2 linked regions of the Pelodiscus sinensis genome follow. The protein of the gene in region 2 purifies or fractionates together with the protein of the main gene of each other region. This does not show direct contact. Links are inferred from orthologs where the notes say so. Each region holds a gene or a part of one and is shown on either strand. Other genes may lie near its edges.

What was found.
Region 1: the proteins of UQCRFS1 (region 2) and LYRM7 purify together in Homo sapiens (co-immunoprecipitation; 5 studies listed by BioGRID and IntAct, with this or other methods). This does not show direct contact. The link is inferred for Pelodiscus sinensis from reciprocal best matches to the Homo sapiens genes UQCRFS1 and LYRM7.

Annotation. Positions count from the first base shown.
Region 1 is NC_134716.1:49,390,745-49,403,277, forward strand, and holds the start of LYRM7 (complex III assembly factor LYRM7), read right to left. Parts: upstream 5,766-12,533; 5' UTR 5,461-5,765; coding exon 5,443-5,460; intron 3,616-5,442; coding exon 3,543-3,615; intron 1-3,542.
Region 2 is NC_134722.1:26,389,486-26,401,782, reverse strand, and holds UQCRFS1 (cytochrome b-c1 complex subunit Rieske, mitochondrial), read right to left. Parts: upstream 5,746-12,297; 5' UTR 5,670-5,745; coding exon 5,459-5,669; intron 1,312-5,458; coding exon 701-1,311; 3' UTR 532-700; downstream 1-531.

The sequences.
Region 1 (12,533 bases), on a different chromosome or scaffold from region 2:
TTTGAAATAATACTGGAGTGTAAAAGTGACGAGGAGTCCTGTGGCACCTTATAGACTAACTGAAGTGTAGGAGCATAAGCTTTCGTGGGCAAAGACCCACTTCGTCAGATGCATCTGACGAAGTGGGTCTTTGCCCACGAAAGCTTATGCTCCTACACTTCAGTTAGTCTATAAGGTGCCACAGGACTCCTCGTCGCTTTTGCAGATTCAGACTAACACGGCTACCCCTCTGATACTGTAGTGTAGAGTATCAGAGGGGTAGCCGTGTTAGTCTGAAACTGCAAGAGCAGGGAGGAGTCCTGTGGCACCTTACGTAAAAGAATAAATGGACACAAATCATATATTAGGAATGGCAATATACAAAAACCTATAGGGGAACACTTCAATCTCCCTGGACACACAATTGCAGATCTAAAGGTAGCCATCCTGCAGCAAAAAAACTTCAAGACCAGACTTCAAAGAGAAACTGCTGAGCTACAGTTCATCTTCAAGTTTGACACAAACTCAGGATTAAACAAAGACTGTGAATGGCTAGCTAACTACAAAAGGAGCTTCTCCTCTCTTGGTATTCAGCTACTAGAAGTGGGCCTCATTCTCTTCATGCTCCAACACTTCAGTTAAGTCTATAAGGTGCCACAGGACTCCTCGCCGCTGTAGTGTAAATATACCCAAATTTCTTACAACCTCCTTCAACCTCTCTTCCTTGTCTTTCATGTAGGGCTGATCTACACAGTTAGTGAGCTAATATAACTATTTTGGTTTACAAAAAAATCTTCCCACTGGTCAAGTTAAAGTATGACCCCTAAATGTGATTGGCAGAACTGTCTACTCAGTGACACTGGTAGGGCTTAAGCTTTTCAAAATACAGCACAAGACAAAGGAAGCTTAAACTACAGATACATGCCCATTAATATCCATCTGTGTCCGTGACAGGGAATCATACCATTTTCTTAACGTCTATAGTTATAGCAGTACAAAAAAAGCTGTGTAGACTAGCCCAGAAAGGTCAAGCTTCTAAAACACAAATTCAAAGCCCTGTAAAAATTATACCACTGGCTCCTCCTCTTGGTCATTCCCTTCTGCTCCCTTGCTCCTTCCATCCCAACCATTGTTTTTAATAGAGAAAGGTGGAAAGAGAGAGAAGACTAAGGCTATGTCTAGACGACAGGGTTTTTTTCGAAAAAAAGTGGCCTTTTTTGAAAAAAAAAAACCAAAACAAAAAACTTCACCTGCATCTAGACTGCCGCCACATTCTTTCAAAATTAAAGTGAAAGAACACAGCGGTTTTTTCGACAGCGGTAAATCTCATTTTACAAGGAAGAACGCCTTTTTTTGAAAGAGCTCTTTCGAAGAAGAAGGCGTTCTTGACCGCAAACAGGGCTTTTTTGAAAGAGAGCTACCAGATTGCCTGGGTGCTCTTTTTTGAAAAAACAATCCACTTTTCCAAAAAAGGTATGGCTGTCTAGACGATCTCTTTTGAAAAAAGCTGTTTCAAAAAAAGCTTCTTTTGAAAGAAGCGTATACTCTAGACATATCCTAAGTCAGTGCTTAAGTCTTTCTAAAGTCACTTCATTTTCCTTCAAATCCCTCTGAAAAATAGAATCAGAAAAATGAACTTTAATTTTTCCCCAAGACACTTCAACAACACCTTTGAAGATCAATTCTCTCTGCAGACAAAATATGCTATATTAGAAACTTGATCAAATACCTGTAACCATATACGGTCAAGACCAGGACCATTCCTTTTATGTACTGGATCTGAGAGTGTGCAAAAAAGACTTTGAGAGGAGTGCCTGGGAACTGGGGACTTTAAGGCTTCAGGCTGTAGGGCTGCCTGCCTAGTAGGATGCCACGGAGTTGGAGACCTCAGGACTTCCAGACTGCTGCTCTGCGACAGCCTGCCTTGGACAGAGTATCCACTCCCTCTTGTGAAGAATTTGGACATATTTAGGGTTTTATTCCCGACTGGAACAAAGCCAAATTTCAAAAATATTAAAATCCACAGTGAAAGACAATTGCCTTTCTCTGAACAGCTCTATTCATGTGATAATGTTGCATCCTCTTCTCTGGTAACTCAGAAAAACAGACAAACTGAAGCATTTCAATGGATCAGGGCTTTTTTGTTTTTGTTTTCTGTTGTTTTGCTTTACGTAAACTGAACAAAACAGTAGTAGTAATTTGTTTATCACACTTGTGACTCAGGTTGACAACCTGTTCCATCTGTTTGCTCTCTGGATCTGCAGAGACTACCTGCAAACTCCAATCTTTCTTCTTTTGTGAGTGTTCTACCCTGTGTGGCTGAACCCCTTATGCTGATTAAACAACAGCAGGTTCCAAAAAGGAGTCAATCTAATTCAATTCCCTTCAGGGCATGTAGGATGCTAGGAATTATTAGGAAAGGGATAGAAAATAAGACCCAGAATATCTTACTGCCCCTGTATAAAACTATGGTACGCCCACATCTTGAATACTGTGTACAGATGTGGTCTCCTCACCTCAAAAAAGATATTTTGGCCTTGGAAAGGGTTCAGAAAAGGGCAACTAAAATGATTAGGGGTTTGGAACGGGTCCCATATGAGGAGAGGTTAAAGCGACTGGGACTTTTCAGTTTAGAAAAGAGGAGACTGAGGGGGGATATGATAGAGGTCTATAAAATCATGAGTGGTATGGGGAGGGCTGATAAAGAAAAGTTATTTATTAGTTTCCATAATAGAAGAACTAGAGGACACCAAATGAAATTAATGGGTAGCAGGTTTAAAACTAATAAAAGAAAGTTCTTCTTCACACAGCGTGTAGTCAACCTGTGGAACTCCTTGCCAGAGGAGGCTGTGAAGGCTAGGACTATAATAGAGTTTAAAGAGAAGCTGGATAATTTCATGGAGGTTAGGTCCATAAAAGGCTATTAGCCAGGGGATAAAATGGTGTCCTTGGCCTCTGTCTCTCAGAGGCTGGAGAGGGATGGCAGAAGACAAATCGCTTGATCATTGTATTCGGTCCACCCTCTCTGGGGCACCTGGTGCTGGCCACTGTCGGTAGACAGGATACTGGGCTAGATGGACCTTTGGTCTGACCCAGTACGGCCGTTCTTATGTTCTTATGTCTAAACTATATCCCTCTTTCGAAAGAGAGATGTAAATTAGGCAGATTGAAAGTGCAAATGAAGCAAATGAAGCGGGGATTTAAATAGCCCGTGCTTCATTTTCATACTCACATAAAATAATCGAAAAAGGTTTTTTTTTCCCTAAAAGAACCGCATCTACACAGTGGTTTCACTTTCGAAATACCCCTTTTTCAAAGGAACACTGTGACAATTATGCAAATGAAGCAGAGGATATTTAAATCCTCACTTCATTTGCATTTTTGATCTGCCTAATTTACATCCCTCTTTTAAAAGAGAGAGTGATGTAGTTTAGACATGCCCTCAGAGAGAATGATGATAGTTCGTGTAAAAGACCTTCATACAATGGCATGCCCAAGGAAGGAGGGTCCTTAGAGATTTTGTAGAGATGCAACAGTCCCACTAGGAAGACAAAAATTCTTACCTTCTAAGGCTCTTGCGTCATTTTTAAAAACCTGTTGCCGTGTTCTATGCAATGTTCTGAAAAGCTTTAAAACCTGTTCATAAGATACAAGTCAGCAATCAATGTGTTTTGTTTGTTAATAGTAATAATTAAGTAAAATTATTATTTTTGCAGTTAAAAAGGTATTTTTATTTGCATTCTACTGTTTCCTCCATAGCAGCCGAATCATTCGGTCAGAAATGTAAGCTCAATTCTTGATCAGACTTTCTGCAGATAAAACAGAGGTATAGAACACAGAAGACAAGATAATTCCTGATATCTAAAATATAACAAGATCTCAGAATTATGAACACCGGAGTTACAAATTAAATGGCCAATCATACACTTCATTTGGAACCAGGAGTACACCATCAGGCAGCAGTAGAGATCAAAACATGACAAGCAAATACAGTAAAATATTGTGCATGTAAACTATTAAAAATGAAAATTTAAAAATATTTAACGAAGTAAGGAAACTATTTCATTTTGGTATTGGAAAAATTTGTTGCCACCCTTTTCTGAACTTATCAGGAGTTTGGAGCTGGTGCCATTTGAAGAGAGATTAAAAAGACTTGGACTTTTCAGCTTAGAAAAGAGGAGATCAAGGGGGGATATGATAGAGGGCTCTAAAATCATGACTGGAATGGAAAAAGTGAATAAGGAAAAGTTATTTACTTATTCCCACAATAAAAGAACTAAGAGTCACCAAATGAAATTAATAGGCAGCAGGTTTAAAACAAATAAAAGGAAGTTTTTCTTCACTCAGCGCACAATCAAGCTGTGGAATTCTTTACTAGAGGATGCGGTGAAGGCTAGAACTTTAACAGGGTTCAAAAAAGATCTAGATAAATTCATGAAGGTTAGGTCCATCAATGGCTATGAGCCAGGATGGGTAGGAATGGTATCCCTAGCCTCTGTTTCTCTGGAGGTGAATGACAGGTGAGGGATCACATGAGGATTACCTATTGCAATCCCTCTCTCTGGGGCATCTGGTATTGGCAACTGTTGGCAGACAGGATACTGGGCTTGATGGATCTTTGGTCTGACCCAGTATGGCCCTTCTGGATGGACCTTTGGTCTGACCCAGTATGGCTGTTCTTATGTTCTTAAAAGCAGCACTTTCCTCCTTAGTAAAGTTTCAAAGCTGTTTTAAGTCAATGGTCAGTTGTAAGCTTTTGAAAGAACTGTAACATTTGCTTCAAAGTTAAAAACAGGGATGTTAGATAGTGTGCAATTAAATAGCCAGGCATCAAATTTTAGCAGATACACAACTATTCTATCCAGAGATGGAGCTGGCAGCCAGCGTTTTCCTGATCTCACTTTTGGGGAGCCCCCAGCCACACCATGCTGCTGCCTCTGATACAGAGGAACCAGCAGGGGGTGGCAGCAGCTCCTGTCCAAGGGGAGGTGGGTGTCCAAACACGAACCGCTGTGGACAGAGGCTGCTTTGCAGCAGCAGCCTCCGCCACCCCCTCATGCTACTGCCTCTGTAGGAGGCAGCAAGGCGGGGAGGGCAGGCAGGTCTGTGGCTCCAACATGCACAGAGAGCCAACTTAAAAGCTGGCTCCCCGCACCCTCTGTGCTGCTGCCTCTCTATCATTGGTAGCAGTGCGGGGGGGAGGGGGGGGCTTTGCAACCACATTTTAAGTTGCAGCTCTGCGCATGTGCATCATTGTGACCCCCCCCCCCAGCTTCCAAAGAGGAGCAGCCCTGGATAAGACTGAGATTTTTGTCTTGGTTTCTGCCCCCCCCCATAGGAAATCTGAGCGGGCTGGGGGCTCGCCAGGCATTTCGGTGCGCGTATGGGGTTGCTCAAAAGATTCAGGAAGAATCCTGCGGGTCACAATAGAACCCGCGCATGCGCACCTCCGCCCACACTCACCTCCGTCCGACTCCCCATCTCCACAGCAGTTCCCCCTCCACACACAGCAGCCGCGAAACCACGCCCACCGCCTCGCTCATGAAAGGCCAATCGGAAGGTCACAGTCCAGCGCCGCCCCCTCCTCCTGCGCTTTGGTTAAGGAGCGGCAGGGTTGGGGGAACGTTACGGGACAAGCCGCTACCGAACCTTTCCCCGCGCGCTACTGCGGGCGGCGAGGCTACTTCCTCGTGCATCGGGAATTCGTGCCCGATAGAGCCGCGTCCCCTGAACGCTGGATCCGGGCAGGTCGATGCCCTGAACCGTGAATGGGGGGGGCGGGGTCAGCTTAATAACGAGCGATCGGATTGGCTAATAAGTGTCCCGTGTTCCTTGCCGCGGGTGCTGTGTGCGCGTCCTGCGCAACACCCGCTCCGCCAGCAGGCACCAGGCAGTGTCGGTGCTGTGCCCGCATCGGTGCCCCCAGCTGCCGTCAGCTTTAAACGTGGTGGCTGCTGGGTGTGGGCGACACCTCTCCCGTAACGACATGTCTGCAGGCGCTTGGGCTTTACCGAGCGCCCCGCACTCTGCAGTGCGGCTCTGTGCGCCTGAACTGCAGGAGCCTTGTGCTAGTCAGCTGCGCCTTCAATACACCGAGCGTCCAAGCCCACTGGCCTCACGCTGGCTGCCAATGGGAGTTGTGTCAGGCCTCATAGCAGTAACAATTAGTGAGTTGCCCCAGCATCTGAGGTTTGTACGCTGTTACAGTAGCTGAGGCGCCTAGATCTCATAACAAGGACATTTTAAAAAAAGATTTTGAATGATTTTCTTACAAGTCCTTAGAATCAGAGCCACCAGACTAAATAACATAACTGTGATATATTTTTCTATTTTTAGTGAAGAAAAACGTAACAGTTTTCAAAACTGGGAAGTCATCAGTTTCCATCTAACAGATTTATGTTGCATAGCTGTTTTACTTTCAGTTCTTAACTAATGTTTAACTCTGCTAGCAGTTTCCATTTCCTAAGAAATAGCGGTCATCTAGAAAATGATGACTTATTTTCCATAATTGATTTGGAAAGTGCATCCATAATATTCTGTGTATAAAAACAAACAACAAATTTATGTAATGTATTTTCAGCACAAGACAACAGTTAGATTTGTACTAAGGAAGAAACTCAGAGTGGAAGTAGCTGGCATATTTTTGCTTTTCACTGAAAATTACAGGAATTGTTAAATTCAACCTCGGAAAATATACATATTGCCTAGGTTGACTTAAGAGAAATTATATACACTCACATCGGAATTATTGTAACTTCACAGATATCAAAGATTTATTTTTCTGTTTACCAGCATTTGCAACATAGACCCATGGAAGTGATTTTTGGTTCTATCAACTCTAGCACTTCTTGCATTGCATTTAATTCAATAAGAATCAGAAAAAATAGGTGAACAATGAGATGGAAATATTTGCTGATGAGACAAAATTATTTAGGTTAGTTAAAGCCAGAAAGACACTAGTTTCAGAAGTACTTAACCAAGCTAGGTAAACAGACAACATGATGTTGGTAAATGTAGAGTAATCAGCATTGGTGGGAAAGAAACTACTCTTACAATTTATTGGATTGTAAATTTTCTGTTAACAAAAGTACCTGAGGGAGGGAGAGCAAGCATGTGGGACAGTTATACTCCCAAATAGGGAGGGGAACACAGGAGGGCTATGTCTAGACTGGCATGATTTTCCGCAAATGCTTTTAACGGAAAAGTTTTCCGTTAAAAGCATTTGCGGAAAAGAGCATCTAGATTGGCACATACGCTTTTCTGCAAAAAGTGCTTTTGTGGAAAAGCATCCATGCCAATCTAGATGCACTTTTGCGCAAAAAAGCCCTGATCGCCATTTTCGCGATCGGGGCTTTTTTGCGCAAAACAAATCTGAGCTGTCTACACTGGCCCTTTTGTGCAAAAGCTTTTGCACAAAAGGACTTTTGCCTGAACGGGAGCAGCATAGTATTTCCGCAAGAAGCACTGATTTCTTACATGAGATCGTCAGTGTTCTTGCGGACATTAAAGCGGCCAGTGTAGACAGCTGGCAAGTTTTTCCGCAAAAGCAGTTGCTTTTGCGGAAAAACTTGCCAGTCTAGACGCAGCCGGGAGCAACCAGGGAGCATCCAACAGCTGGGCTCTGGGCTGCTATGTCCCAGGGAGCAGAAGTGGGCTGCATGGCCCTGCTGGCCTCAGGGAGCAGTCATTGGGCTATTTTTTATTTTGTGGACATCTCTACATTAGGAAGAGAAGAGAGACTGACAGCTCATTTTATATGGCTCAGCAAACTCATAAATGGTAGCAGTTATGGGGCTTTGGCAAATGCACTAAATGCAGACCAGTTACTGAATGGTAGAAAGCTCTGTCATTTCATCATCTGTTATTAAGCCATTCAAGGGTCCCTATAACCACTTTGTTCTGAGAAAGGAAACATTAATTTTTGCCTTCTTGCATCAAAACACTTGAATCCAGTCATTGACTGTCTGATTATAGGAACACATACACATGAACCTCAAGGTGTCTCTGTCACACTGATTTTCATTCCTGGGTGGAATTTTTTAATTTAGATAATTTATTTCTTTAACAGAAATAGTTCTCTTTATATGTCAGACTTCATGGTGTGTAAGCCAGTAAGTGTTGTAATTTGTTAGTTAAGAATCAGTTGTCATTTTCATTTTACACCTAATTTTTTTAGTGGTTTATAGCTTAGTTAAAAAATTAGTCAGAAGCTGAATCTTTTGGTAGGATTAATTGAGGATGAAATAGGGAATGTAATTCCTTAATCATCTTTGCTGCTTTAAGTTTTACTTTCAAATTTTAGATAACTATATGCCTTTGTTTAATTATAATTACACCACATATATACAGGCAGTCCCCGGGTTACGTACAAGATAGGGACTGTAGGTTTGTTCTTAAGTTGAATCTGTATGTAAGTCAGAACTGGCGTCCAGATTCAGCCGCTGCTGAAACTGACCGCCAGTTCTGACTTACATACAGATTCAACTTAAGAACCCCAAGCGTCCCCAAGTCAGCTGCTGCTGAAACTGATCAGCGGCTGATTCCAGGAAGCCCGGGGCAGAGCAACTCTGCCTCGGGCTGCCTGTAGTCAGCACTGGTCAGTTTCAGCAGCGGCTGACTTGGGGACGCCAGGGGCAGAGCAGCTCGGGTGCTGCTCTGCCCCATGCGTCCTGATTCAGCCGCTGCTGAAACTGACCAGCAGCGGCTGAATCAGGACGCCTGGGGCAGAGCAGCTGGGGTGCTGCCGGGTTGGTCCAGTAGTGCCCAGAGTGGCGCTGCGGGACCAACCGGCAGCGCCCCAGCTGCTCTGCCCCAGGGTCCACAACAAAAGCCTGGTCTGCTGGGGGGGGAGGGCGGGGGGCACACTAGCTGCGCCCCCTTGTAGCCAGACAGGAACCCCCTTGTAACATCCATTTTTGCTTGCCTGGAGCATACAGGGCACACAGAGCAGAAGGCCCAGGCTGTGTGACCGTGAATGGCTGTAAACAGAGATACGCCAATTGCTGACCAAGAGGCTGCCAAGGAGTGCCCTTGACTGAAACCCATATTGATACGAACACACATCCATCCGTGGGGGGGAGGAATCTCTCGCCCAGTAAAAAAATGTCTAGTGCTCACAATTTAGTTATCTCTCTTGCAAGTGTAAATTAACTTGAAACTTGCTTGTAAGAACTGGCACCACAAAACGGACCAGTACAATTCGGCATCTTAGATAAGAAAGAGAATACAGGCCCCCAGGGGTATAAAGATAGGTCCAGCAGCGCATTTTCTCTGAGTGTCAATCTACCATCTATCTGCTGGTCGGGTTTGGTGTTTGATCTCCCGAGGTTCCAAGGGGACGCCCACCTCGTATTCATCTTTCCTAGGAATTGAGAGACCGGCCCTGACCTGACACGCTGGAGTCGAGAGGCACAGAAAGGGGTAAAAATTGTACCTGGATGTGGTCCTTTGCTTAAGTATATATATACATAGACTTAGAGCTCTTTAAAGATTAAGCTGTCACTTGGTACCATTATTTCTATTTTCTATCTTTATTTTCTTTGTAACCATTTTTTAAAATCTGTATTTGTTAGCATTTAAGAAATAGAGCAATAGCCATTGTAACCATATGCTTTTATAAGTCTTTTAATAAACCTGTAACTGTTTAAGCTTTAACCTGACTCCTTCAGTTGCTGTAACAGAACCAAGCACAATTTAAAAGAACTTCAGCCGGTCATAAAGGGACAGACATAGGGAGAGCTTGGGCGTTTGGATCTGTGTCACTCCCAGGTGACAAGATCCGTTGGGGCACCTTTCCAGCCTTTCCCAGGCTGCCCGCTGCGAAGGAACTTTGTGTTCTAGCAGTTAAAATCTAAGGTGTAATAAGCTCTTTCTATATAACAGGGCATCTGTTGGCCTGCTGGCCACCCTCTGCGACGGGACCCCGGTCCTAGCAGTAAAGACACGGACGTTAAACCTTTTCTCGGAAGCATACACACACACACTGCCCTGACCGTCGGCTGACACCCCTGTCCCAGCAGACCAGGGACACGGGGAGCAAAGCCGCAGCGGCAGCGGGGTGCCGCGCCTCTGAGGCTTTGCTCTGGCTGCGGCTGCGGCTGCGGCTTTGCTCCCGGTGCCCCTGGTCTGCTGGAGACGGTCCCCAACAGACCAGGGGCATCAGGAGCAGCTTTTCTCGCCCCGGAGGTCGAGGTGGCAGGACCGCTGCCTGCGAGCTCCGGGGCGAGAAAAGCCCCGTTCGTAAGTGCGGATCCGACATAAGTCGGATCCGCGTAAGTCGGGGACTGCCTGTATGTAACAGTCTGCCAGCATTTTCTTGTCATATTCTCTTTTCAGGAGATTATTTCCTTTGAGGGAAATTTACTTTGAGATAAAATGTGTTATATAGGAGAAGATATGTTATTGTAACAATTTATTGCTGACACTGGATGAATAATGTTTAATAATCATGAAATATTTTTGAATACTTCCTGAAATATGTTTGTGACCGTTCTTCCCCCCGATTTCTCAAAATTGCCTTAGGAATATAAATATGCATAACTCAAAGATGCTTTAGATAAAATACCTCATGTAATCTATTAATTTAAATGTTACAGTTTGCTTGACCTATGTATACTATTTTGATGAATGTACTGTTTCATCCTTATATGTAAAGCTACAAGTATCTAGTGTGAGTCTGTTTACAGTTTAAATGTGCCAATGAGCTTAATGACTGGTGATCAGCTTAATGACTTGTAAACAGCCTTGTTTGTCCTGTAAGTACAGAAGGTGGCTGGTGACATGACCATACCACCTGATGCTGGTATCCATTTTGAATCTGGTAAATTTCTGCCAAAGGGGGGATTTAAAACAGAAGATTCCCACCCTAGGGAGAGTCTATTTAAGCAATAGGAAGCTATCATGTCTTTGTCTTCAGCTGGCCTAAGAAAAGGCAAGACACACTCCAAAAGGAGACAAAGAAAGCTGGAGACCCAAGTCAGAATAAAAGACACTTGTCTCTGACTTGAAAATTGTATTTGAAATAAGAACAGCTCTTTTGGGCAAGAATCTTCTTACAGTACCCCTTGTTATTTTTTCTTGCAATTAGTTTCTTAGTGAATTAGAACTGGCTATGCATTTTCTTTTCATTTGAATTTAGTAACTTACTTTGATTTATCTATTTTCGCTTGCAGCTACTTAAATCCTACTGTTTGTACTTAGTAAAAATAATTTTTACTATCAGGACCAGTGTAAATAATTGGTATGGGGGGACAATCATTGTGCATATCTCTATTTCACTGACAGAGAGGGTTTAACTGATGAGCTTTCACTGTGTACAACTTTTACACAGAGAAAGATTTATGTATTTGGGGAAGAGGGTTGGTCCCATTTGGGGGTTGATTGCATGGGTGTTGGGCTATAGAACTGCATCTACCCAGAGCTGAAGTGGTTCGGTATCTGTGTTGCTCTTCAGGGAAGTGATTATCCCAACTCTGTGCTTTTTCTGGGGGAGTCCAGAAGATCTAGCCAGCAGGATAGGGTGAGGAGGAGCCCCAGAAAGCAAGAAAGAAGACATGATCAGTACACTTGGAAACAATCTTAAGGGGAGTCCTGTGACCACACCCCCTCACAATGTTGGATAAATTATTCAGTGAACAGGGCACTGATCCTGAAGTATGATGTACTAAAAGGTGTAAAAATCTTTTCATTAAATATGATTGCAGATTCAAGGTATGTATTAGTGAATTATTCAACTATTAATAAAACCCGTGTGAATAACAGATTTTTGACTATTTTAAGCTATTTGCAGCACTATATTGAAAAAATAAATAAATGGTTTGATAAGAATTATTCAATCGGGTCTATTTATTACATTTGAAAAAAAAGGCTGTAGCATATTTAGAATGATATTGTTAAATTATGTGTTTTTTATCATTATGATGCTTCCATCACTTTGATTATCTCTTTGAGCTATTAATAACTAGTAAATAATAGAGATTAACAACTCCAGTGAAATCAGGAACTGCTTACAAAGCATACTGTTAAATACATGTATAAAGGACTAGGGCCTTAAATAAATACTTATGGAATATATAGATTTATTATTTTGTGTCTTGTGAATTATGTCGATGTTGATGTTCTTTCCTTAAAAATATTTTGATCCTTTTAAATAAAGAAGTTTTAACAACATTTTTATTAAAATAACATTCACTGTCTGACAAACATAGAAAAACAAGGAAATTAAAAGCTGAGGTGGAAATTCTGTCCTTATCTTACCCCTTTACACATAAGCAAAGCAGTACCCTTAGGACATATATGTACCAAAATACCTACATACAGTGGGGTGAGGTAAAGGACAGATTTTCAGCCCACTGTTCTTTGATTTGTTTGGTCAGACATTTCTTTAGTGCTCCAGGATATATTTTTTGCTAGAGAGCCATTGTGGAAGAAGTATGACAAGTTCTGCTCTTTTACACCTACCTCAAATAACAGAAGTAACTCAAGATTTATGCTGGTCTAGGAACAGAATTCTGCCCATTATTCTCTCCATAGTTATGGATAAATCACATATTTAA
Region 2 (12,297 bases):
CATTATGAATTTGTTCCCATGTCAGATTCTCTTTTTATAGTACGCAAGGGCTTTCTTGGGAGGATTGAAATGGCTAGGGTTAAGTAGGGAAAATTCTGGCTTATGTTTTCTGTTCCAATGATTCCTCATCCCTATTTACACTATAAGGCCTCTACGGATGTTACGTAAGTTTAATCAACTAATCGATGGGCTAGGAGCTAACCGCGCTGCGGTTCTGCTTTTTATTAAATATATTAAGAGCCGGTAGGCTCTTAATACATTTAAAAAACAGAGGTGCAGCGTTTGAGATGATTCCTAGATAAGGCCCTAGCTTCCGGCTACCCCTTTTCCTCCCCTGCTCCCTCGGAGAAAGTGCTGGGGGGGCGGGGGGGGGGGGGGGGAGGAGGAGGAGGAGAAAGGCTTTTATGCTGGTTTCCGCTCCTCCCTTGCTGTATGCATATAATCGCTTACATCCCTAAGGACATCCAGAACTTTATTAGGTACTACCAGCAGATTTCCTGGAATTTAAACACCAAATAAATGACAGATCACTCAAGTCTGATTCTTTATTCGGAAACATTTAAGCATACTTCTTGATAACGGTGACTTTAAACAGTTAGGTACATTTTTTGGATAATTTAATGTTATACCACACCAGAATCTTAACCTTTTTTTACAATGTTCATACAGAAAAAGATGAAACAGATCATCGTCCAGTTATTTAACCAACAATAACAACGTTATCAGAAGTAAATTCATAATCTGGAACCTCAAGGTTGGCTGGAGCAGGACCTTTTCGGATTCTGCCAGATGCATCATAGTGTGACCCATGACAAGGGCAGTAATAACCACCGAATTCTCCAGCATTTGCAATGGGTACACATCCAAGATGAGTGCAGACACCTATCAGTATAATCCATTCTGGTTTTTTTACTCTGTCTAAATCATGCTGTGGATCTCTTAGTTCAGTCAGTGGTACTTCAGCTTCCTGATTAATCTCCTGCTGGGTTCTGTGACGCACAAAAAGGGGTTTCCCTCTCCATTTGAAAGCCACACTCTTGCCTTCTGGAATATCAGACAACTTTATCTCAATTTTTGACAAAGCTAACACATCAGCAGAAGCACTCATGCTGGAAACAAACTGGGTGACAATATTCTTAGCAGCATATGCAGTGGCTATGCATGTTGATGCAGTCAGAAGATAGGAAAACCCTTTTCTAGCATCGCTGCTATCTTGAGAAGATTTTGTTTTATCTAACACTTCTTGGCGACGGTAGTCAGAGAAGTCAGGTACTGACACATCATTGTGAAGGTAACGAACACTAGCTGGAGCTGCAACAAAAAGTAAATAGTATTAACTGCAAGCATCTTCTTAAAGACTTAGTACTATACTGATTATGAAGCTTTGTTTCCAGAGATTGAAGGTGAAATTTGAAAGAGGTCCAAAATACTTTCTGTAAAAAGTAATCCTTATTACTGCATATTGTTAAAAGTAAAAGTTAACATCCAGTTGCGATACTACAAGATTATTTGTGAAACCTAACACGTTTTTATCAATGATCTTTGCCACTCCCACCGAAATCTGACATTATAAGCCCTGTGTCTAAAAAGACACTCCAGATTGTATTATATTCACAAATGAACTATTCCAGGGGTGGCTAACCTGTGGCTCTTGAGCCACATGCAGCTCTTTGCTCACAGAAATGCAACTCTCGGGGCTACAGGTCGTTCAGAGCCAAATGCTCGCTTTATGCACACGCCCCAGTTCCTGGAGGGAAAAGTGCATGGCTGTGGTGGTGGCATCTCTGGTGAGGTCCAGGCATTGGGTTAGAATGGGAGAGGCCTGGGGGTGGCTGGCTCTGGGGGAGGGATGTGTGGTTCTCTGCACTATTATCCACAGCTTTTTTGGCTCTTATTGTCCAATTGGTTGGCCACCCCTGAACTATTTGTTAATTTAAAAGAGCACGGGCACAGCTTAAAATACAGGAGAGGGGCTAGAGATATAATTGTGTCTCAATTAACCAATAAGCAAAAGCTTTTAGGTTAATGTTATAGATTACATGCATTTCTCCCCCTATCCTCCCGCCGCCACCAGTAAATATTTTTGTAGGCTGACCAGCGCCCTGGCTCAGTCCTTCCTTGTGACAGGCTGGGACCTACCCCTGCTGCGACTCTGCATTAAAGTGCGTTAGGAGCTAAGCAGGCAAGCAGCCCGGCTCAGTCCCAGTTTGTGCTGGGTCTGGGAGCTCAGACCCTCTTCAGACAGGAGCTGCTATAAACCTACAGAGGGTGACATAGGGTGACAGGCAGCCAGTCTGTGAGATAAGCTGTTTTTAAAACTGGCTCTCCTCACAGACCAGCTCACAGAGTGGCAGGTTTACTCGGGAGTGGAGCCTTAGTGCACTGGGCTGCTGGCCCCACTCTCCGGGTACTAGAGAATAGTCGAGTAACTGATAAGAATTCATAAGGTTAATCGAGTAGTCGATTAACCAATATTTACCATTCCTAACAGGGGCTGCTCCGTTTAATTGGTTAACCACTTAAACATCATGTTTACTAATTAAATGGCATTTTACATTCCTAGTTAAAGAACACTTTACAATTCTACAACTCAAAAGCTTGAAATCTGGTCTTCGCTAAATCCTCCCTTCCATACTTTTCTTATGGAAAGACTACTTGAGCGATGGCTTACCCTAATTTTAAAAACACTTTAGCTGTTTGGTGGCCAATCAGCCCTTGACAGCATAGCTACTGTACATGTTAACATTCTACACTAGCATGGGCACAGGAAGAGAAGAGTAAGACAAATTCTTAAAGTCAGATTTCTTTCATTTGAAAGTTCCTGGAAACAATGGGATTAAGAAATAGGGATTTCAAAAGCATTTAGGCCATGAAACTGCAAACATTTACACGTTTAGTTAACTTTTGACTTCAATGGATCCTCTCACAAGAGTGTAAAACTAAACAAGCATGTATATGCGGGATTACTGCATAAATTTAACAGGTTTCCCTTAAATCTGATATTTACATTCTTGTGTCAAACTTTACTGGTTTGATTCCCAGTTAGACAATTACTATGCCAAAATGGCCATGTTATGCAGCTAAAGAATAATGTAAATATCAATTTAAAGACTGAAAACAGATTTTGTTGTGTAAGAAGATATTCAGCCTTACACTGCATGTTTAGAAGTTTCAGAGGGTAGCTGAGTTTGTTTTTTAGGTTATTCTGTACAGACTAATGGTCTGGTAGAACTTTAGAGACTAACAAAACATGTAGATGGTATCATGAGCTTTTGTGGGCACAGCCCATTTCTTCAGATGACCAGAGTTTGTACTACATGTTTAATTTTTCCCCCAGAAATCACCATCAGTAACACAGAAGGTTAACAAAAGTGTCTCCTGAAAGGATTGATAAGAATTAGGTGTTATGTGCAAAGGAAATCATCATGCAGGGACTGCACCAAGTTACAACTGATGGAGGAAATAAAGTGCATCTATTTACGAGGAACTTTGCGAAGAGAAGCCATTTTCTTAATCTTTAACTGCAGAGAAATTAATTAGCGAGGAGGTAGTTTTGCAACAATTTTAGCTTTAAAATGTTGTATGTGCTCTTTTCAATGGGAAAGTAATTCAGCATTAATCCTCTTGTTTAGTGTTGAATATAAACTATGTTTTGTCAGCACACTGATGTTAAACAAGACTTGAGTCAATGTGGACAAGGCCAAGAGGTATGTAACGTGTCAACTGGATAATATTTGTTCAAGGGCACAGCATAGTTCTACATTATTACATGTAAGCCCACTGTTTTATACAGAAACGTAATACACACTTTAAAAAATGAACATGGACAGAATTATTGAAAAAGGATTATATTGAAGCTTTGCATCAAAAATTTTCTATTGCTCCGACCACGCTTGGTTTGAAAATTAAGTCCTGTAAAGTCCAACACTACTCAAACATTTTATTCAGAGGAAAAACTGTCAATACCCTTACACAAAGCACTGCATGAACTAGAAAAAGGCTGATGGCAGAAAAAAAGTTTTAATCTCTCTCACTTAACAAAGCTCCTTCTTTTGATCTCAAAAATAAGTCTTTCACTTTGTAATTAAAACTACAGCCACTCCGACTTACCAACACACCAATTTACGACCATCTGTACTTACAACCAATCTCCTATTAACCCCATTCTAAAATTTTCCAGTTGAGAACCATGTACGTCAAGTATTTCGAACAGTGCGGGCAGCGTGTTTAAGGGTATTTCCGACTTATGACCAAATCAAGTTACAACTACGTGATCGGAACATAACCCGTTCATAAGTCGGGGACTGCCTGTATTCATGTGCTACATGCAGTGTTTTCTATTCTATCCCCATTCCGGAGCTGTGAAATGAAAGCCTGCGAGTAGTACCTTCAAGGAGTCAAGCACAAGTTATCTAAAATCACTACTTCTGATTAGAAATATAAAAAGCTATTTTAAAAGGTAACCCTGTAACTGCTAAGAAATTTCAGCGGTTACACTGTTACACACACTGCAGCACTGTTACACATGCTGCAGGGATGTCAAATTTAGATTAACTGGCTAATCGAATAGTCAATGCAATTTGCATAGACTATTCAATTAGTCCATAAGCACGCCTCTATCTTTGAAGCTACATTTCAAAGATGAAAGCGCTGTGGGGAGCATGGGGCATTTCAAAGTGGCAGACCCCCGGCACCCCACAGCACTGCCACTTTGAAACATCCCCTCCTCTGTACCCCCCCTCCCCGCCTCTTTCTAATAGAGGCAGTAAGTGGGGAGGGGGCATGACTAGTCAACTAGTGTGTTGACTATACAATAAGCGACTAGTCCTTCACATCCCTCATAAAAGAGTCCGCAGGAAAGTCGGGGCCCACCAATCCCTGCTGGTCCGGCTGGGAGGGGAAGTGTCTTTGCCCGGCAGCCCCTGCCAGCGGGCCACAGCGTGTAACCTGTGGTGGGGGTGGGGCAAAGACAGGGGCCCCGCCCGCACTGGAGCTGCTCCCGTCAGTACCTGTTAACCTTTTAACGCCCTACTTCAGACCAAGCAGTTGGCACTGGATTCGATTCAATTACATCCTTGAGCGTGGAAACGACTCAGAGCTGCTCAGGTTTCCCAGTCCCCCTCGGCGTCCCGCACGGGGGGGGGGGGAGCTTTGGACAGCCCACCGGCCCCCGACCCTGCGCACTGCGGACATTTCCGCCGCTGGGAACGGGCACAAACGGTGCCCGGGCGCAGGCCAGCGGCAGTAACTCACAGCGGAGCTGCAGACGAAACCCGCGCACGGGAAGCGCTGCCCCGGCTCACGCAACCCTGGAGCCGCAGGCCAGGCCTCCCCCGCACCGAGCCACACACCCCCCGCCGCTGCTCCCACAGGCCCCGGCCGGCTACAGCGGCCCACCCACCCCCGCTAGCGGCCCGTCTCCAGCCCGAGCCCCGACTGCCCCACCCCCGTGCCGCACCGTTGATGCTGGCGGTGGCGACGAGGCCTCCGCGGGGCGCTCGGCCGCTCAGCGATTCCCGGCTCAGCACCAACCGCTTCGCGTCCAGCGGCAGCTTCCCGGGCCGCAGCACCACCTCCGGCACCAGCGGCTTCAGCGGGCCCGGCACGGCGTGCGCCGCGGCCGACAGGTACGGAGCCAGGGGGCCGGCACGGGCAGCCACGGACAACATGGCGGCGAGTGCGTCTGAGGTGGGTCACCTCAGTCGGTCATAGGGCGGGCGCAACTTCCCGACAGCCCTGACGCCGCGCGGGCGACGTGCCCCGCCCCCTGCCCGTACGTGCGCACGCCCCGCCCCCTGCCCGTACGTGCGCACGCCCCGCCCCCTCGGGTTGCTTCTGCCAAGGTCACTCTCCGTGACGTCACCCAGGCTCGCGTTTGTCCCCAGGTTTGGCTGAGACTTGCGGGCCAGCTGGCTTCAGTAACCTCCCGGACCCCAGCAGGCACTGCCGCTGCAGCCCGGCGGTGACGTCATTCAAACCACTACCGCAGCCTGGTGACCTTATGCTACGTAATACATGAGGTCATCTCACACCAGTGACGTCATGCCCTTCAGACGGCTAGCGGGTTGCGGATACTGCACCCAAAATGACAAGTCACCTCAACTGGATGGAATCACAGAAATGTAGGGAGGGAAGGGCCCTCTAGAGGTCCCCAAGCCCAGCCACCTGTGCTGGCCAGCTGCACAATCCTTGTTCAGAATGGCTGCGTCTAGATTGACATGATTTTCCGGAAATGCTTTTGACAGAAAAGTTTTCCATTAAAAGCATTTTCGGAACAGAGCATCTAGATTGGCACGGATGCTTTTCCACAAAAGCACTTTTTGCGGAAAAGCATCTGTGACAATCTAGACGCGCTTTTCCGCAAAAAAGCCCCGATCGCCATTTTCGCGATTGGGGCTTTTTTGCGGAAAACAAATCTGAACTGTCTACACTGGCCCTTTTGCCTGAATGGGAGCAGAATAGTATTTCCGCAAGAAGCACTGATTTCTTACAGTAGGAAGTCAGTGCTTTTGCGGAAATTCAAGCGGTCAGTGTAGACAGCTGGCAAATTTTTCCGGAAAAGCGGCACTTATTCAAAGTAGGAATAAGACCCTCCGGAAAAGGGCACTTTTTCCGGAGGATCGGGGCCAGTGTAGACGCTCTTTTCCGGCTTTTTTAAAAGCCGGAAAAAAGCGGCGGACATTTTTATTTAAATGCCGTGGGGGATATTTAAATCCCCCGCGGATTTCCCTACGACGACTGGTGAAATTTACATGCCCCTTCCGGAAAAGGGGCCAGTGTAGACGTAGCCCCCATGTGAAAACACTGTCCTGTCACACCAAAACATCATGCCCACCGTGGCATGGTGATTCTTCATGGCTGTGTTTTTGGAATGCACTGTTTAATTCTATTAGATCTTTAGACAGTTATATGACACTAGTTGGCCTGGTATCAAAAGCCACAATCCTACAAACACACGTGTTTAATATTATTACCATTCTCAGCTTAGGGTTTAAAATTAGCTGGCACTTGGTATTGACACTGTGGTGACGGTCTTGCCTGTATCCGATGCTAGCTCCTTTCTTTCCTGGCAGGGAATGGCTTAGCAAGCACAATTGTTCCTTATGAGAAAGGCACCAGTCTGTGCCCTGGTGAGGCTTGTCATCACTTTACGCATCTCATCCTCTATCATGACACCATCTGGGTTATTAATGAAACATCTTTAACCATTATCTGAAGAAAAATTGTTAAAATTCAGAGACAAGTTATATGCTCTTTTCTTTCTCTGTGTGCTGTCAGGTTTCCTTTTTAAATCTCTTTCCCTCCTCCCTCCTTTCTTTAAGCTGATTTGACTGTTGTCCTGTTTTTCTAGTCATTATTTCTGTTTCAAGGGAGAAAAACAGTGATAATCTTGCACTTTGTCTCTGGAAATTTGTGGGCCATAAATTTTATATCATGTCTGAAAAATGTAAAGCACATTTTTCACCACACGCTTGTTATTTTTATCACTACACTTCTGTGACCAGTCTCCAGTTTCTACAGCTTCAGTCTCTCATACATTGCTTACCATCAGCACGTTCTGTCTGGAACTCAGGCTCCTACAGAAGTCAAACAGTTCCCCTGAAACTCATTCTCATCATCAATGATTAGCAGGGTGGAGGAACACAGCAGCTGTAGTTCTCACCAAAAGTATATATTCTCTCATTTTGGGACCACAAATTATCCCTCTACCTTTAGTCATTTGCACACATTTGGGGCCCAATTCTCCACTCCATTACATCAGTTTTACAGTGGTATAGAATAGAACAGAGTAAGGCCATTTATATATATTTTGGCTGAAATAATTTTATTACTGCAGAACATGTATTATGTGAATTTTACCTACACAATGCATATTTGATTTACACCCATTATCTTCAATGGTGTTTCTCTGGGTGTATACCTAGATGAGTGAGATATGGTCTTAGTCCTATATTAGAACATTTTATTAGCAAACTGTGATGATCTTGATTTTCTTTAGTAGAACTTTTAAAATTCACATGCCTTTTTGTTTATTTTAAACTCAACTGAGATGAAACAAACTTCATCTGCTAGACCTAAAATATAGGGCAAACTGGAGACTATTCAGTTTGCATATCATACCATTGTGGAGCTTTTCAGATGTGAGTTTGTAATCTAATTTTGTGTATATTTGGAGGTTTCCGTATACAGGCAGTCCCCGAGTTACGCGGATCCGACTTATGTCGGATCCGCAGTTACGAACGGGGCACTTCCTCTCCCTGGTCTCGAGCAGACCAGGGAGAGGAAGCAAAGCGGCGGCGGAACGCGCGGCCAGCTGACAGCCCAGACGCGTCTGGGCTGTCAGCTGGCCGCGCGCTCCGCTCTGCTCCCCCCCCCCTGCAGACCAGGGGGAGGGGGAGCAGAGCGGAGCAGAGCAGAGCGGCGGAACGCGCAGCCAGCTGACAGCCCAGACGCTTCTGGGCTGTCAGCTGGCCGCGCGTTCTGCCGCTCTGCTCTGCTCCGCTCTGCTCCCCCTCCCCCTGGTCTGCAAACCATGGGGGTGGGGGGAAGCAGAGCGGAGCACGCGACCAGCTGACAGCCCAGACGCGTCTGGGCTGTCAGCTGGCCGTGGGTTCCGCCCTCTGCTCTACTCTGCTCCCCCTCCCCCTGGTCTGCAGACCTGGGGGACGGGGAGCAGAGCAGAGCAAAGCCGTGGAGCCCGAGGGCAGCAGGATAGCCACGGCGCGTCTGGGCTGTCCCGCTGCCCGCGTGTTCCGCTGCTTTGCTCCCCGTCCCCCTGGTCTGCAGACCAGGGGGACGGGGAGCAAAGCAGAGCAAAGCCACGAAGCCCGAGGGCAGCAGGATAGCCACGGTGCGTCTGGGCTGTCCCGCTGCCCCCGTGCTCCGCGGCTTTGCTCCGGATGCCTGTGGTACAGCAGCTGGGGCGCTGCCGGTTGGTCCCGTAGCGCCGCTCTGGGTGCCACTGGACCAACCCAGCAGCACCCCAGCTGCTCTGCCCCAGGTGTCCCCTAGTCAGCAGCTGCTGAAAATGACCAGTGGCTGACTACAGGAAGCCCCTGCCCCGGGCTTCCTGGAATCAGCCGCTGATCAGTTTCAGCAGCAGCTGACTTGGGGATGCCTGGGGTTCTTAAGTTGAATCTGTATGTAAGTCAGAACTGGCGTCCAGATTCAGCCACTGTTGAAACTGATCAGTTTCAGCAGCGGCTGAATCTGGACGCCAGTTCCGACTTACATACAGATTCAACTTAAGAACAAACCTACAGTCCCTATCTTGTACGTAACCCGGGGACTGCCTGTATATAAGGACACGCAAAGCCATTAAATGTCAAAATTGCTCAGTTGTTGTTTATATTGCTTTAAGTTTATAAGACTCCAAGAAGTGTCTGTCTCAGTCTCTTGGCACTTTGGACACATAATTAAAGTCACAATAAAAATCACCATGGCAGTAGCTACCCCCAAAATAGAACAATAACGTAATAAACCACACCCTACAGATAAACTTACATATCCTCATTCCTCATCCTTTAAATATTACCCTTCAAGCAAATCTTCCCTTCCCAAAAGATCTCGTTAAAAGCTGAGCTTTGCAGCATGCCTGGAGGGCCAATAGATTCCACTTGTTTCAGACTGAGTGTGGGGTGTACATTTGAATGGTGAGGATAGAGAAGGTCTTATCATCAGCTCCCTCTTTTACAGCAAGAAAGGCAGCTTTAGCTTCAGTGCCTCCTAGCTGTAGCATCACAGTAGAGAGAGGCAGCAGCTGCTCAGGCCAGTATATCTTATAGTCAATACCAAATTACAGATTCCACTTGGATATGTTATCCCAGCTCCTGAAGGGATTTGTTCTTTTGGACAGCACTTCCCATCCTTACATTACTTAGGCATCATTTCTAAACTTGCATGAAAATTTCATGAGATTTGGGAAGGGCAGGTGCAACTTCAGATTTAAAAATTTCAAAAAACTATGGAAACTCCATTTGTCTTCAAATGATTGTGAAAATAAAGCTGCATTCTCACTTTTTTACTTTGTCACTGAATCTAACATAATATATGGTAGACTATACTCAGCTGATGCATTAATTACATAAATTAAGTTTGGTTCCACTTGAGTTCCATCTGGCAGCCCAAACACTTAACACTTGTCTGAACATTGAGATGTTAACCAGCTTTTTGAGCTGAACAGCTATCCACAACTCCAGCTCAAGACATCCCTCCAATTGCAACTCATCAGGCAATTAATCCATCCCATTCAAAAATGAGCTTAAAGGATTGCTACTCATTTTAGGAGTTAGAAGTTTAAATTCTAGTAGTTGCCAGTGTTGTCATTAGCAAATTATTTTAAGATTGTATACTGAGGAAGACTTCCAGTGAGCAATACAAATTATATTAATATGGGGAGCAATACTGATAAAATGTATTCATGTGGGTAATTTTGTTCATGGGAGTAATTCAATAGGCATTCCCCCTCCCCCCATGCAATAAACTCACATGAGTAAAATTATCCATGTGTTTTAGTCTTTAGAGGAACAGATTCATCTGAAAGTCCACTCATGTTAACAACTTTTCACACTGTCAGTAGTTTAATTGACCTGTTCTGGTCCAGAAAGCTTATGATAGACAATCTTGCTTTTGCAGTACAGGCAGTCCCCGGGTTATGTACAAGATAGGGACTGTAGGTTTGTTCTTAAGTTGAATCTGTATGTAAGTCGGAACTGGCGTCAGCCGCTGCTGAAACTGATCAGTTTCAACCGCGGCTGAATCTGGATGCCAGTTCTGACTTACATACAGATTCAACTTAAGAAACCCAGGCATCCCCAAGTCAGCTGCTGCTGAAACTGATCAGCGGCTGATTCCAGAAAGCCTGGGGCAGAGCAACTCTGCCTTGGGCTTCCTGTAGTCAGCGCTGGTCAGTTTCAGCAGCGGCTGACTTGGGGATGCCTGGGGCAGAGCAGCTGGGGTGCTGCTGGGTTGCTTCAGTAGCACAGCTCCTCGGCGCTACTGGAGCAACCCTGCAGCACCTCAGCTGCTCTGCCCCAGGCATCCTGATTCAGCCGCTGCTGAAACTGACCAGCAGCGGCTGAATCAGGACACCTGGGGCAGAGCAGCTGGGGTGCTGCTGGGCTGGTCCAGAGCGGCGCTGCGGGACCAACCCGGCAGCCCCCAGCTGCTCTACCCCAAGGGTAGGCAAGAAAAGCCTGGTCTGCTGAGGGGGGCACTAGCTGTGAGTCGGATCCGCGTAAGTCGGAGACTGCCTGTATACATTACAAAGCATAATAGCAAAGTGTGTGTACAATCCAAACTTTGCCTGTAAGTAGTAAAATCTTTATTAACAATTTATTTACTTCAAAATCAATGACACTAGACAGAAACTAAAAAATATTTTGCATATAATCTGTATTTTAAGGTTATAGTTAATGTTTATTTGAAGAACCTGCCCCCTTTTCTACACTTTATCTGCTGTAATATTTGTTTCCAATATCTTATTCTCAAAGGATATTATTTGTAATCATTGATTCCAAACACAAATGGAATAGCAAAATATTGTTTGATAGTTTATTTCACTGAGTTTTAATTGAGATTTTCCTCTGCACAGACTTCTACAATAATTAAACTCTATATCCCATAAGGAGATTTGCTGATTAATAAATTATTTTATAACTAAGTAGAATAAGTGTGCCTCCAATCAATACAATCACCTAAAAGCTCCAAATTAGAAATGGTGTAATAAAATTTAAATGAAATGTACTGGGATTTGGTAGTTTTAATTACAGGGAATGATTAATTGATGCTTCAACTAACAGTGATCTACAACTTATTGAATTCTTAGCAATTTAATTTGTCAAACCTGATCTTTGATAACTAACAATTTGCCTAATTAATGTTAAACCTGGAGTATTGAAGTAATTGCAGTTAGGAGTGAAGTTACATACTAAAGTCTTCTGTTCAATTTTAGGTTGTATTAACAGAGGAATAGAATGCAAGTCGAGGGAAATGATAGTACAGGTTAAAACTCTCTAAACCAGGACTTTCTGGTCAGCAACATCCATGATCTGTCACAGATGTTGCAGGACCAGAGAGTCTTAGTGGAGGGCTAGCTGCAGCGAGCCCTATGGGGCCAGCCTGCAGTGAGCGGCTGTGGGTCCAGCAGTGTGTGGCAGTGGGTCTACCCAGCATAGCTTGGAGATGCAGTGCATGGCTGCCTGGTGGGACCGGGAGCTCAGCAATGGGACCAGGACCTGTGGTGTGCAGCTGCCTGGTGGGGCCTAAAGCAGCAGTGTGCAACAGCCCAGTGGACCA